Linked DNA regions of Oreochromis niloticus. The protein of the gene in region 2 purifies or fractionates together with the protein of the main gene of each other region. This does not show direct contact. Links are inferred from orthologs where the notes say so. Each region holds a gene or a part of one and is shown on either strand. Other genes may lie near its edges.

What was found. The genes of interacting proteins can lie anywhere in the genome.
Region 1: the proteins of gsk3ba (region 2) and yap1 purify together in Homo sapiens (affinity purification with western blotting; 3 studies listed by BioGRID and IntAct, with this or other methods). This does not show direct contact. The link is inferred for Oreochromis niloticus from reciprocal best matches to the Homo sapiens genes GSK3B and YAP1.

What each region holds. Positions count from the first base shown.
Region 1 is NC_031979.2:32,236,346-32,244,022, forward strand, and holds the start of yap1 (transcriptional coactivator YAP1), read right to left. Parts: upstream 3,027-7,677; 5' UTR 2,494-3,026; coding exon 2,293-2,493; intron 1,148-2,292; coding exon 912-1,147; intron 1-911. Other genes in the region: cep126 (centrosomal protein of 126 kDa), read right to left, coding at 6,817-6,900, 6,994-7,058, 7,178-7,387, 7,653-7,677. UniProt on the Homo sapiens protein: Transcriptional regulator with dual roles as a coactivator and corepressor. Critical downstream regulatory target in the Hippo signaling pathway, crucial for organ size control and tumor suppression by restricting proliferation and promoting apoptosis.
Region 2 is NC_031987.2:19,718,190-19,726,173, reverse strand, and holds the start of gsk3ba (glycogen synthase kinase-3 beta), read right to left. Parts: upstream 3,007-7,984; 5' UTR 1,990-3,006; coding exon 1,902-1,989; intron 1-1,901. Other genes in the region: gpr156 (probable G-protein coupled receptor 156), read right to left, coding at 6,855-7,984. UniProt on the Homo sapiens protein: Constitutively active protein kinase that acts as a negative regulator in the hormonal control of glucose homeostasis, Wnt signaling and regulation of transcription factors and microtubules, by phosphorylating and inactivating glycogen synthase (GYS1 or GYS2), EIF2B, CTNNB1/beta-catenin, APC, AXIN1, DPYSL2/CRMP2, JUN, NFATC1/NFATC, MAPT/TAU and MACF1.

The DNA.
Region 1 (7,677 bases), on a different chromosome or scaffold from region 2:
CTGGTAATGTCTGACCAATCACACTGATTAGTGTACTAGAAGCTGATTTTACAAAGGAAGAGTAAACTTTAAAATTAGAAAAATATGAAGAGGTTACATAAATGATGTAAGTATTTGTATCCACTTTGGTTAGAAAGCTATTATTAAAGTGTAGCCACTTGTGTGAGTTAATCGATAAAAATATCCCCTTAAGACATTGGAGAACCTGATGAGCTGTTATCAAGTATTCCAATCATTTTCAAATTTGCATAAAACAGTTACAGCTGCTGTGTCTTTTAAGTATTTAAGATTAAGTTAAAATACAACAACAGAATTCAAATATAGGCTTAGTCTATGTACAAATTTGAAATTAGGTTAGAAAGTGCAGTATAGGTGTCCTGTTTTAGGATCATATATTACTGACTAACACTTATCAAAGAATAGATTGTTGCTGACAACATGGGAATGAATTTATATTTATCACTGATGCTCAACAGGTTAACACAAAGACTTTAGACACTACTGAAAAACCATCTACTCTACCCACAGTGGGATTTTTCAGGAAGGGTGATGCCAGTTTCCAACAAACTGCCTGGTCAGTAGGCGGTGATTTCATACCTGCTGATCTCTAATCAGGAACCTAACCTGTTCCGGAGCAGGTTAGGGTTAAGGGTTAAACTTCAGAGGTAATCCAGAAGTTACCCAGATAAGATTAAATCCTGCTTTGTAGTACAGAGGTCTCTATAGAGACCTGTCACAAGACCAATTCTTTGGTAACTTTCATTGTGACAAACTAAAAACTTTGAACCTGTGATTGTGATGGTATTAAAATGTAATGTAATGAATATCACTGACTTTTCAAAACATTTCAGGTTGCAAGCATTTTGAGACTTTTACAAACTGTATGATGCACTTCATGGCAGCATACATACTTGAGGAAGTATCTCTGGCCAGAGGCAGTCTTGGCCATCTCCCACCCATCTGGTAGGGGCATGTCATCAGGAATCTCATAAGAAGACTGACGAAGATGTTGAGGAGAGGCCCCTGTTGAGCCCATGCCAGACAGTGAGCCACCAGAAACAGCTCCTAACTGCAAGGAAGCAGGGGATGAGTGTGCACGGACATGGTGAGGGATGAGCACTCCGCCACTCCCAGCATCGGTGCTGGCCTGTGTTGGGGTTGAGAGACAACAAGAGCTGAGTCAGTTTTCTGTGGGGAGTTTGAGTGAAAATCCTTACTTCAAAACATCAATTATCATGTAATAATTAAAAAAGGCAATACGAAAATGTAAACACAAACTAAACATTTATGAAAGAATAAAAAAAATATATGTGGCTTTGTTCGTTTCAAATACAAGTGCAATAATGGATTAAGAAACGAAAAACAGAACAGTCTTAATTTAATGACCTTGTGTAGTAGTCTAAATAATTTCTACCCATTTAATATTTGAGTCACTCCTTATAATTCATAATCACTTTAAAGTGTATATAAATTCTATTCATGTGCATGTGAAGGCATGTTTTTGACTTATTCGGGTGTGGGAGGCATCCAGGGCCCGCCACCAACACGCATGCGCACTAGTACAAAAAATCCTCAGCGTTATGGGGAGCGACCGGTAACTTGGAAGTGCTGGAAATGGAAGAAGGGATCGGGGAGGGGCTGTGGGTGAATATAGGATAATTTAACCATCATATGATTTCCTGTCAGCAAATCAAGTTGTTTACATAAAAAAGTCGGATTAGAAAGAAAATTTAAGATGATGCGAACATGACGGTTATCCGTCTGCAAATAGCTATACATGAATTATTAACCAAACCATCCCTTATTGTTTTTACATGGTCACTTATCTATTCACAATTTATTCTAAGCTAAGCAATATTCATCGGTTTTCTTGGTTACTTACGGCCAAAGACTGTAAGAGAATGTTTCCGCCGTTTTATAAAGCCCTCACGGCCTTTACTGTTTTAATGTTTTGTTTTGTTTTTTTGCTGTGCAATGTGTTAAATAGAAATTTGAGGGGGGGAAAAAAACAACCCATCAATGGAAATGCACACTCATTTAAGCATGTCAATACGAGTCCGCCTGAATAAAGTTATTATATCTTAAAGACTTTAAAAAAAAAAGTGTGTTCAAAGATGACTGACCAATAAAACAATAACGCTGAAGGCTAAAAATGGCACTGAAGAAGGATGAAGTAACTATTAACTAAGTGCCAGTCACGTAGCTCCAGAAGGCCGAAGCTCGACAAGATGGGCCCTGATTTTTAGTCGTGATTTCTGAGTACGGGCACAGTAAAAACCAGGGCGGGCTTACTTGTCTGGAATGAGACTTTGGTTCTGGTGGTTTGAAGAAGGAGTCTGGCAGTTTCCTCATCCTCATGGGCACAGAGTGGGGCACGGTATTGACTTTCGGGTTCATCACGGCGTTAAAAAGCGCCTCTAGGTCAGTCTCAGAGTCGCCCCGTACATGGACGATTTGGTGTCCGGCAGGAGGGTTGTGCTGGCTCGGATCCATTGTCCCAAAACAGTCTTCGAACTTTATGTCCCAAAAAAGTTAGGCTTCGGAAGTTAAAAAATAAACGTGAGTCAATCCCAAACTTTTTTTTCCACGCCGGGAGAAATCTGAAAATCTCGACGACACTCAGTAAAAGTTATTCGGAGTCATTCTAAACTTTACAAGTCGAGCACTTGATATTCTTCCAAAGTGTGTTAGCTGTCGAAATCTGCAATGAAAGACAGCCTTTTCCTGTTGTTTCCTGCTGGCATACTTGTTAACGTAACAAAGCGCATAAACTCCACATTGGAATTTATGCTCTCGTCCCCCCAAAAAACGCAGATGCAGCCACAAAAGACGAAAAAACACCACAAACGGTTGAGTGAAAGAGTCCAACTTTTTCTGAGTGTCGGGCCAAGTCCAAGCTGTTGTTGATATTCTTTTAAGCAAGGCTCATAGTGAGCAGTACAAATCTCCGCAGCTCACTTTCTAGAAAAAAAAAAAAAAAGTTTAGCCCCAGTCGGATCTAAACTTTGGAGAGGAGACATCAAACTTTATGACGCCAGTGACGTAATGACCAATAAAGGGCGGGACTTACGGCTCCGATTGGGACAAGAGCGTTTAAAGGTAGACTGTGAAAAAGCCAAGCCCTTTATTAGCGGGCACCTTCCCCAATTTAAATAACGTGTGAAATTAAAAGTAAAATATTATGTGCCAAAAGATACGTTTTTGATAAAACATGTCACAACTTTTAAAGTTAACATCTACTTATTTTGACAGCAAATGGAACTGTAATATCCTTTACAGTTTATGTAATCTTCGACTGGACAATCAGGGCAACACCTTATAAATTATGGCCCATTTGCTAGCCCAAATCTGAATGCAGCGTAGAAAAAGAAACTACTATATAGGAAGTTTCATTAAACTAACTTGCAGATGCACTGAAAATGAATGAACACAGCAATGTAACCAAATTAAACTCAAATTTGATGCTATAAAGTGACATTTTCTTGTACAACTTTGTACATGTTTTTTTTTTTTCAAAGTTACCAAAGTTTTCTAGTGTAAAAACAAGAAATTAAAGGACAAATAAGAAAACGAAAATCAAATTCATATTGAACTTAAAGCTCATAATAACTTACAATAAATTGCATTTGCAAACGGAAAATCTGACTAAAGCAACACTGGCAGATCACATTTTTCTTTGCAGGATTTATTTATAGCATTATGACACAATATAGATAAACACTTTTCCAAGAATCTGAGCAAAGATAACAAAAAAAAAACTATCATCACTATGTGTAATAGTACAGTTTTGTCTTTCTCTCACTCTCTTTTTTTTGTTACAGTGCTCATGAAAAGTAGACCCATGCAGTTCCCACAATTGTTATGCTAATGCGGCCCCTCTCCCATTGAGAAATCATTTTGTCAAGATCCACCCTCTTTGGATATAGAGGCTCTGTTTCAGCTTTTCCCATACATCCACTGAATGCATCATTATGAAGATCTATTAAATATCCACAGACACTGTAAACCTCCTTAACAGACTGATAGTCACAAGCCACATGCTTTTGGACAGATAATACTTTTTAACAAAGCTGTACCTTCAAAATCTTAGAAACATTTAACATCGCTGTAATCCACCATACTAGTGTACTGATAGGAATTCATGTTTGTCCTGCTAAACTTCGATGTGTCTAATAAATGATTAGTAAAATACTGACAGTGAGAAAACTTTTAATATATGTGAAATACTTGATTATTGTTTTAAAAGTCGCTCTAATTTGATGAATGAAGGAAACAGTCTTTGCACACATGCTGCCAGTCAAAAAATGGCAATTGTTTCAATGAAAGTGGCCATTTTTACATCATTGTAACGCAGTCAGACACATTAAAGAGATGGACTGCAGTGTCCCGGCAGCGCCAAGAGGACCACCCACCACGCCGAGTTTGGTCACTTTTTGTCAGCCTTCCATCCTCCTCACTGCTCTCGATTGGATATTACTAGAAACGATTATATGGCCGCTATAAACCAGAATCAACCTGTGATCTACAGTGTAGCTGCATGAGTCCACTTTGTGTAAAGCGCTTTGCTCTTCTGTTTGGCTATTACAGATATGTTGACACACCGTTGCTATAGTCAAGTGAGTAGAAGGCTCGCACGCCCCCTGCAGTGTACAATCGGTATTTATCCCAAACTATTGCAGCGTCTATCCCTTCCTTTCTGACTTCCTTTAAACATGAACTAACCACGTACAATACAGTCAATAATAAATGAAAATGATATACTGCATGTCAACTTTAACGTTTTTTATTGTCTACAGTCTTTCAGTTTTATGCATAAATCTTAGCTATCACTCATTTTCTGAGCTTTTAAGCCATTGTTATCATTACAAATTTGATCTAAACATGTAAAGCTTAATTTCCAACCTCCCATCCATGTGCATATTGTTTGATTACAAAAGATATTCAGATTCAGAAGTCAAGGTTTGTTTCAGTCATTTTTCGTTGCATGCAATATTGCTTTTCCAGACACTCATTCATTGCGTGTTAAATGGACTGTAACAAAAGAAGACAAAATACTTGACAGCTTAAGCTTCACAACAGACCAAAGCACAAGTTTGAACTTGCATCTGTGAAAATGTCTCCCCTTATTTTCAGCACTCTTGCCTTTTCTTGTTCAGTTTCTGGGTGTTGTGCTGGTTAAGGCTTAAAGCTCATTACACTCACCATTGTATAGCATAATGACTGTGAACAATAATGGTGCCAAGCCAAACGGAACTGATTTCAGGGCAAACCTACAGCAGAATATTCAGAATTTCAGTGATTTATCTGAACATGAACACTTAATCTACATGATTGTGTTTATTTGTGTGCGTGCCTATGTTGTTGTTGTTTTTTATTGGGGCAGTCCAAGTATTATTACTAGACAGTTTCTTGTTAATAGGTAGGACTCAAATATGTTAAATATCAGCATTCATCAGTTCAGATAAAAGTAGTTTTCTTCCCTTTATAATCGTCTCATGCACACTGGGTAGAAATAACACTGATGCTCATTGTCAATTAACCACATTGGACAATTTGTATGTTTCACTGGAGAATCTCTTCACATATAATGAGTCAAAGTGCGTCTGCTGTTGTGGGCATAATCATATGCTAAAAATGAATACATTGTCTCCCTCTGTTGCTGTTCTCAGGTTTGGTGTAAGCTAACAAGGAGGTGATGCACGACTCGATGTGGCAATGAGACACCATTGTCACATTACTGTTTATAGCTCCTTCTTGGAGCACCAAAGAAACCTGCAGTTAAGCTATAAAAAAGTCCCATCATTGTTCAGATGAGCTTGGGCTTCCTTCAGCTCTTGGAACAAGTCCTAGCAGGCTGACAGAGGGACAAACCCAGACACGCCGGAGAAGGAGGGGCAGCTCACATCAATAATCCCTACAGCGTCTTCCCCCAATGCACCTATTGTTTGCCGAGGAAGACAGAGAAGTTTTTAATTAAATACACTTTAAACAACAACTAGTATCAAATAATACCATCCTTTGTCTTTTGATGTTGCTATAGATTGAGGGCAATATTAAATAAATTAAGCCTTAAAGCAAAAATAAAATTCAGCATAGGTGCAATCTTAAGAGAAACCTGTGGAAACCTCTTTGGTAGAGGCTTGGCTTGCTGAGCCAGTAGGTTGAGTCTAGTAGCCATAATCATCTGTTCCACAGCCATAAAAGAAAGACGAACACACCTTCAACGCTGCAAAACGTCTTTTCATAAACCATTTCCAGGCCTTGGTCAATTCACTGATTGTAACACTGCCAAACACAGAGTTTATCAGCAAACTGACAACAAGATTTATTCACTTCACTGCTGATATAGTTGCAAAACAGTCCAGCAAATCATAGTGTTACTATACAAAATAAATACAGAGTGGTGCAACTTTAAACATTTAACATATACAATTTGATAGTGTTTGTATATTTTGTAGTCAGGGCTGGTCATGTGTTGATTGAAACAAGAGCATCTTTGCATTTTTTAACATAAAAACAGATTAAAGCCTTTCTCATTTACATAGGCACTTCAGACTTAAATTGCTTGATAATCAGTATCTTAAAATTGTTTTTCTTTTATGACCATGTGCTACGTGCGCTCTAAGGCTGCTGATATGGGGTTTTTTTGTCTTTGCAATTCAAGGCTGTTTATATTTCAGATCCTTAGTTACTTGAAAAGACACACTTTGTAAAAATTCCTTTTGCGGGGTAATAAGTGCTTGTTTCAACAACATGTTTCAGCATAATGTGCACCGATGAGGGCTCAAGACTGCTGTGGCGAACACAAGCTTCAAGTCAGGACTTCTTGTGGTATCGAGAGTGATTGTTAGCTGAGGATCCACAGTGTTTGTTATGGTTTGATGCTTTCACTTCTCTTGTCTGAAAATGGAGACAGAAGTTAAGGAATGAATTATCTTCAACAAAGTCACCCTTTCTGTTGAGGAAAGAAATAAATCCCTGCTAAATACTTACATAGGGTGCATCACTAAGTACAAGACCATGCATGCTAGTATTGCCCCCAACACGCTCCTGCACACCTGCAAATAGTAACAGGTTGGCGTGGTTACGCTGCACCGACATCATGTTGATACTCTTCTGTCATACACAGGTCAGAAAAATTCTGGCCTGATTTTAACGGCCTTCACAAAGTGCTTACATTGAAGCTGGTGGTTGAGTCGATCCAGACAGAGCAGAATTTTCTTCTCCTCCAAGGAAATGGTGGTGAGCTCCTGCTGTTGGCTGTACTGCTCTACTGTTCCAGATCTCTGTGTTTGGACTGTCTCCATGGCAGCCACTATACCCTTTTCTTCCAGATGGCCTTTAGCATGCACTTCAGCTAGGTGTAACTGGGCTGCACTCTCAAAATCTGAGATTACATTAAAGGCAGACACTCTCACCTTATCAATGGATGATGCAGCTGTCCTATCAGATTTCTAAATTCCTATATCCCCCTGTTTTTTTTTTAGTTACATTATATATATTTCCTAAAACTACAAAACAAAAAAGAAAATGTTAAGAAAGCTCTTATAAAGCATCAGACATGACAGAATAGTTACAATTTTTTAAACTAATACATTCAACATTTGCTTTAATTATGAAATAAATGTAAACACAAACAGAGAACATAATACCTTCATTTGGAAAGGCTGAGTTGTA
Region 2 (7,984 bases):
AAATGTAAATTATATGTAGCTGCTTGTTACAAGAAAAAATAAAACTCAGTGATTAAGCACAATCGACAATGAAGATTTGCTATCATCCTTGATCGTTAAAGATTGGGAACTTAATAATGTTCTGTTTGGGTGCTTGGATGCTGCTACCAACAATGTGTTGCTAAGAGGCCCTCTGCATATATATCCACTGACCTTTACAATTGCTGGTTTCCTTCCCGTTTATAAAAGTCTAAATGAATATAACCCACCATTTTCACCAATGTTTTACTAATGTCCACGCCCAGAATCTGCGATGTACAGAAGGCCCTGAAGCTGCCAGAGCTGCTTACTTTGGTGGAAATTACTTTGGGAAGGGTTGGTTCCATGAAATGCTTCACAGACTGAAATTTTACAATAGGGGACATCTGAGCAATCAGCCACTCTACTTTCCTCCATGGAGATGAACACCACCTGCTGTTAGACATCAGATTATCAAACACCTATTTAATTGAGCAACTAGAGGTTCAGCTTATTATTTTAGTTGATAATAACGTACTGAGTCACCAGATGAGTCTCTATGAGAGAAAAAGAAATCAAGTTGAGGATCCAAAACTTTTGTCTGAAAAAATTAATTCTCACATTTAGCAGACCTGACCTATACATGCATCTGGGGCAAGACAAGAATTAGACTTGGGTTTGGAGTGTGTGTGTCACAGTGCACTAATCGGTTTCCAACACCAAGGCCCAGACATGAGCCTGAGCCTCAGGCCTCACCCGACTGACATACATCATGCTCACATCACAGCCCTTAAGGCTCCGTCAGCATTCCTTAACAGGTACGTGCCCCCAAACCCCACTCCACCCCACCCACACCCATCTGTGTGTCAGATAAGACAGGGGTGTAACTAGGAAATGTGCACGTGTCCATCTACGACAGTCGATACTCATTAATAGTAAGGATGCCATACTTCTAAATTAATTTCAATGAAACGACTTTTAGTGTTAATTTGATGTTATTTCATCTGAGTGAGCTCTAACTGGGCCATTAAATATAACCAGTACAGCAGTAGTATCTTCAGCATATAGACAGAGCGAATGGGAGCGAGTGCGCCTTGCCTTGAGATCGTTGTGGTGATGGATAGACTAGACGAAAGAGAGGCGTCTAGCACCAACATTGCCAGCCCCCCACCCCGCCACTTGCTCAGCTGACAGGCCTAGTCAGTCGCATGGCTTCCTCTCTGCAGCCAGTCTATAAGCGGTCTCCGGCACCGTGCCACCGTGGCTTCATGAACAGGATACTCGATGTCACACTCCCTCCGGTCGTCGCGACACGGCCCGTGGAAGTAGTGGAAACAGGGCTAATAAACCACCCCCCTTAGGATCGCGTCAGTTTCGCCCGACTCAACTACGGGCGCACCTTCCGCTCTGACGGTTGCGTAATAGACCGGACCTATCGCTTTAACTCCATTACGCATGTGATTGGTGCTGTGTGGCAATATCTCTACGCGATCTAGTCTACATTCAAATGGACAATAATCAGGCCGGATCTGCGGTGGAAGAAGGAGGCTTGGTTTTGACCTGGGCCTGTGCCAACACTACCTTCCTATGGCCCGGCCCGGCCCTTCCCGGCGCGGCCTGCTAACCCTGCTCCGGCTGACCGGCCCGGGGCGGCGCGACAGAGCGCGTAACGCTGTGTGCCCACACCGGGGCGAGCAGCAGTGTGTGCCGCTCAGCAGCCTCCAGTCTCGCTCTGTGACACACATATATGACAGAGATAAGCTTCCCGGAGCTAACCGTATGCTAACTTGACACATTTCCAGCCTAGTTAGTGAGAGGACACTTAAGCGAGCATATGCAGCCCACAGTGGGCCTGGTGCGTGCAGGAAAAGTCTGCCACTCTAGAATTACACGGGAGTACTTACTGCTGACTTTCATGCTGCCGAAAGCTGAAGGCTGCGGCACTGGCTTGCAGCTCTCTGCGAAGGATGTGGTCCTGGGCCGACCCGACATGATCCGACGATCCCTTTGATTCTCTCGACTGTGACTTGCTTAAACGGCGGAGCTGATCGATTCGCCGAACCTTCTCATCAAAAATAAAAAATAATAATAAAAAAAAATCCAAAAAAGGGGGGTTGGGGGGGTGACAGTAAATTAATATCACTGTAATTCTCAGGGAGGTCAGCTAGAAAGAGATCCCCTTATCCCAGGATCCTTCACACTACTTTGTATCGCCACTAAATGACCCTTTTCTTTTCCACCGACGGTCGATCAGAGCATCGTTTCCTCCTTATGCTCCAGGTTTTCTTTCAGCGGGCCTTTGAAGACACGTATCCGACTAAAATAGTCATGAATCTGGCCTCTCCCTGTGGCCCCACGGTTAAAAACCAGCGGTAATTTCTTTCGGGGTGCGGAATCGTTTTCACGGAGATGAAGAAGGGTTAGTTCAGATGCTGATCCGGTGCGGATCGGTGACAAATGCGGCGTTTTCTTAACGATTCGGAACACATGCAGTTCCACTTCATATCCCGATGTGGAGGCTCAATGATCCGACTGCCATGGCGGCTCCCTCGCTATACCCTAGCCTACAGACGGTCCAACGGAAAATCTGCCAGCTGCTACAGTCTTCTTCAGCAAATTCACTAGCCGTACGCCGACTCTAAATCCAGCCTTGCCTCGGTTAAATTTCGGTGTCTTTGCCGAGACCCCAGGCCGGTGAGCTCCTCAGAAAATACTGGTCTTTCAGCACAGAGTCCAACGATACGGAATTTCTTTTTTTATTCCTTCCCCATAGGTTTCAGGCTCGCAGTCTTTGTCGCTGCGCATGGTAGGTACGCCGTTTCCGCAAATTGTTCGAGGGATCGCTCCGGCGTCACGGAAAGACGTTCACGCTGCTGACGTAACTCGCGAGGGAGAATAGGAAAACTGTGAACGCGCGCACGGCGAATCTGGGGTGGCCGATTGAGCCAATCAGAGAGGGAATCCTTCAAAAACGGGCGGTGACCATTTTCCCGCCGTCCAATAAAAACGCCGCTCTCGAGCACCACATGGCATAATTTGCTCGGCACCGCCCTCGCGACTTCAAAGGCTTTTTTCCTGTGCCGCGTCGGGGACAAGGGGCGGGCCCGCTCCCGGGATGGATGACTTCTTCCACCAATGGAGAGCCGAAGCCGGGCTGTCAGTTCAAATGGACCCAGCTGTCACGGACACGGAGCACCGGTGGTCATGCAGCACTGTTGCTATGTTAGATACAAAAGCCTCTTCTTTATCGCTCCCCAACACTTTTTACCTCACGCGGCCCTCGGGCACATCCTTTTAATTAGTGTCATCCTGCTTAGTAATGTAATAATGTGCGCGTGCACGCGTCTCACCCTTCTATTGTAACCTTATCTTGCATGTTTGGCATCGTACCTCCTGATTTCACATTTAAACTGCTGTCTCTTTTGTGTGTTTGTAAGATGCCAGACAAACAAAGCTTTTGCTATTATTTATTTAATAAATATGGCGTCGTACCTAATGGATCAGTTGGCTCTGAAGATTCCTTTGACTGATGTTTTTTTTCACTTAATTTTTGGTGATATTTTGATGTATATAGTTTCTAAAAGGAGAATAACAGGTAAAACCTTCAGCTTGCAATCTCCTCTGTGGAATCAGCTCCCAGTTTGAGGAGGCAGATACCTTCTTTACTCTTAAGATTAGGCTTAAAACTCTCCCTTTTTCTATTAAGCTTATAGGTAGGGCTAGATCAGGTGACCCCGAACCATGTCTTGATTATGATGCAATATTGCTGGGGGACTTGCTAAGATGCAATGAGCATTTCTTCTCCTCTTATCGCTTTATGCTACAGCTGCATTTACATACCACTACAGCATGGCATTAACTTTTTTCTTCTCTCTGCCATTGTGTTTTGTCCTTGTCTCTCCATGATCTTCTTTCTCTGTTCTCTTTCCTCTTACCCTTGAGAGGGCTGTATTGTCAACTGACATAATGTATGAACGATTTTCATTAATAATAGTGAAGCTGCAAGGAGCAGAGATAGTGAAGGTGGATTAGTTTAACTACACTGGGTCAAAAATCCAAAGCAACGGACAGTGCACAAGAGAGGTGAAGAAGAGAGTGCAGGCAGGGTGGACTGGGTGGAGACGAGTGTCAGGGGTGATTTGTGACAAAAGCAGCATGAGTGAAAGGGAAGGTTTACAAGATGATAGCTGATGGTAGGTTTGGAGACAAAGTTAGAGAGACAAGGATGAGAGCACTTGCAGAGGAGGGATAATAGATATATTTTAAAGATGGAGCTGCGAGGCTGGAGGAAAAAGAGGAAGATCACAGAGAAGGTTCATGGCTGTGGTGACAGAGGACATGCAGAGGGCTGGTGTGAGGAGGAGGATATAGGGATAGCGTGAGAATGAGGCAGATGATCCACCGTGGCGACCCCTAAAGGATCAAAGAAGAAGAATGAGGTGTTAATAAATGAATGTTGTATCACTGAGTCAAAAAGATTTAAAATAATCTAGAACTGTAATTTATTACTGATCTATAAAGCAGTTATTGTTAACAAACTACCAAAAAGGTTGGAAATGGTGCAGTTTATGTTTGTCTGGTGATGTAAAATCGCTGAAGGTGTATCTTGTTCTTTTCTGCAAATGCATGTGAGTGTCACTAACTGTACTGAACTCTAATTATATGTGTGCTGCATTTCCTGAAATGGCAATAAAATATATTATATGCAGAATGCAGAAAGGGCAGGAAAGTCTTTCCCTGTTCACAGTGATACAGTTGCTAGTGTATCTTTTATGCAGGGGTGTGTGTATGTGTATGTGTGTCTGTGTGTGTTTTATTCTCCGTATCAAAGGGAGTTTCTCCCAGGCTGGCCTTCAATGGTTCATATGCAGAACAGAGAGCGGCAGCATCTTAAAAGCAGGCAGCTGAGCAGAAGTAACACAAGACACTGTTTTGCCTTCATAGCAACACCTCCCCCGGCAAACACACATTTCCCCATTAGTGGAGGGATAAAATACGAGAAAGACAGAGAGTAGATAGCAGAAGGGAGTGGAAGTGAAGGGCAAGTCATAAAAGAGACATGAAAGATAAAAGGGAGAAAAGGCTTTTGTCTGTGTTTCGGGAAAATCCATGAAAATGTGGTGAAATCATGAAATCATGGTGGAGATTAAAGTGATGTAGAGCCTGGCAAATGTTTTAACTCAGGGAAAATGTTGCATTTAACATGGAAATCATATAAAGGTGAGGTTTAGTATTTAACATCACGTCAGCACTCACATTCACAGAATGCACATTGTAAATTCAAACTCAGATTCAGCAAAGGAGCATAACAACATTTTAAGGAATGTTTATAATAAAAGAAACATAAAGTAATTTTGGGCACCAAAACATCAACAAATAAATACAGAAATAAATACAGAATTGCACAATTGATAATAGAGCGCACATTTGTTCTGTGAAAACCTTTTATGTTGCATCTGTTTATGTCATTTTTCACTATTGTGTCTCTTCTGTCAGTATATTTTGAGAACTTATATGAGTTGACTAATAAAGCACCTGTCTACAGTTCTGTGCAAAAGTCCTGATTTTTTCAGTTCATAATATTTTGCTGGGAAAAAATGAAATAGGTGCAAACATAAATAGAAATACAGTATATAAGGAAAGAAACATAGTTTGTACAAGTACGACGGCCTTTATTCTTTAACACATGCTGGACTCTCTTAGGCAAGCTTTCTTGTAATTTCTTTAAGTAGTCTTCAGTAATAGTTCTCCAGGCTTCTTGAAGGACAAAAGTAACTCTTCTTTGGAGTTTTCTTGTTCATTCTCTGTTTAGATGATCTCTCATTGCTTCAGTAATGTTGATGTCTGGGCTCTGGGGAGACCAATCCTTGACCGATAGTGTTGCATTGTGTGCATTTCTATCCAGCTATGTTTGTACTGCTTTGGCAGTATGTTCGGGATCATCGAAAAATGAAGTCATTGCCAATCAAAAGCTTCCAGGTGGTATTATATAGTGGATCAAAGGCTGATGGTACTTTTCTGCATTTATCATTCTGTAGGCACTCACTGTTGCACCTCTCTCCTGATCTCCCACATATATGTTGAGGAAAACTTAAACTATGATTCATAAGAAATATCTTGGGCTGATAGCACTTTGAGAATCAATTTGTTGGTGCAAAAACTGTTTTATATCTGTCAAAATGTGTTATCTTTGGCATTTTTTTTATGGATTAAAGAAGTGGAAACAAATTGTGCATTTTGGAACGGCTGCTAGTAACAAAGTGCCTAAACATACAATTTAAAATATTTTTTTTGATAAGTTGTCTGTTATCATTGTCATCAAACACTTTTTATGTTTGAATTATTCAAAGGTAAGTGTTAAAAAGATTAACAAAAAACAAACACAGAAAAAGAACATTCCTCTGGAAATGGTGAGGCCCAAGGACTCGTGTAAAAATGAATGAAAAAGCAGCCAATGTCCAAAAGCGAATGTCCTTCAGAACCACTTAAAGAATTAAAAGAAACTAAATATAAATAAATGAGTAACTCAAGGCTTTTGCACAGTACTGTAAGTGTCAAAGGTTTTCATCAGACAGTAGAAATAGTAATCCAAATAATACAAATAATGCCACAAGGAACTATAAAAGTAAACAGCATCATGTGTTTTTAAGCTACAAAAGTTTTAGTCTTATAAATCAGTCACTGTGACCCATGGTGCAACACAGAAAAACACCAATCTCTGGAATGTAAAGTTCCTATACTGTAAGCTACTGTCAAATGTCCCTCCATCACAGAAATACATCAGTTTTAGCAACCTTTCTGAGGATATTCATTCAAGTTGTGGAACTGGATAAATGTGTAAAGTGCAGTAAACGTGTTCATACGAAGGTGGGTTTGAGGTCTTCTTTGAATACCACAGGGCGTGGGGAGCGGTAGAGGCTCAAGTAGTCATCATACTCGCTGTCAGAGGAGTCTGAGGAGCTGTCTGAGTACAGGAGGGAGCCTCGCTGCAGGCAGGAGTCACAGTAAGGACGGTGGTAGTAGCAGTAATCTGTTGAGCTGCTGGAGTCTGAGTCCGAATACCCACAGGAGTCTCGAATGTGTCTACGGTGCTGCTCGTTATCACCGCCTGCTCCCACATCCTCTGGAGCTTTACGGTTTTGTTCTTCACAATGCAAGACCGAACATCTCGGGAGCCTTGAAACACACCTCTGACATGTTCTCATTACTTCATGCACTTTTCCGTCCTCCTCCTCCTTTCCCTCTTCAAGGTCACTGTTGTGATGTGGGATACAGTTATCATCCACAGTAATATCTTCTGGACTTTGGAGCGCACATGTGTCTCTTGCTCTTGCACAGCCAGGAACCTCAGAGCCTGTGTAGAAGCAGGGAGAAGCTAAACCTCCTCTAGAGGTGTGAAAGGGCCGCCGCCTTTTTCTCATGGTGTAAGGTGAGATGCTAGGGTAGCGAAAGAGTGCAGGAGAGGGAGGGGAGCAGGGTGTCCGTGGGGAGAGAGGGGAGAGTGTAGAGTCTCTGGTCAGCTTTTGCTGAGAAGGTATCCTGGGCACCTGATCGGGAGATCGAAGCGTGGTTTCCATAATTGCATCCACGTTGAGTTCCTGAAGGATCTCCTGCAACTGTTCGCTACTAACAAAACCAGCTGGTTTGGTATTTGGTCCCGCCTGAAGAGTCAGGCCACTATAACTACCAAAGGTTTCAGCCATAGAGGGGTTCAACCCTCGTCGGGACTGTAGAGAGGTCACAAACTGAACTGTCTCCTCTGCTGTCCTGAGTAAACCCATAAATGGGAGGGATGCGTCCCGTTTGAGAGCAGATGCATTGTTTTGAGTTTCACAAGCAGGGATTTTGGTGGGGAGAGGGGAGGAAACAGAAATGGGAGCGGAGTAGTTTGAAACAGAGGAAGGAGCAGAGGACGGTGTAACAGCAGATAATGAACCATGAGCAGCAGTGAGGTGAGGGGAGAGAGCAGAGGGCGAGAGTGTTGATT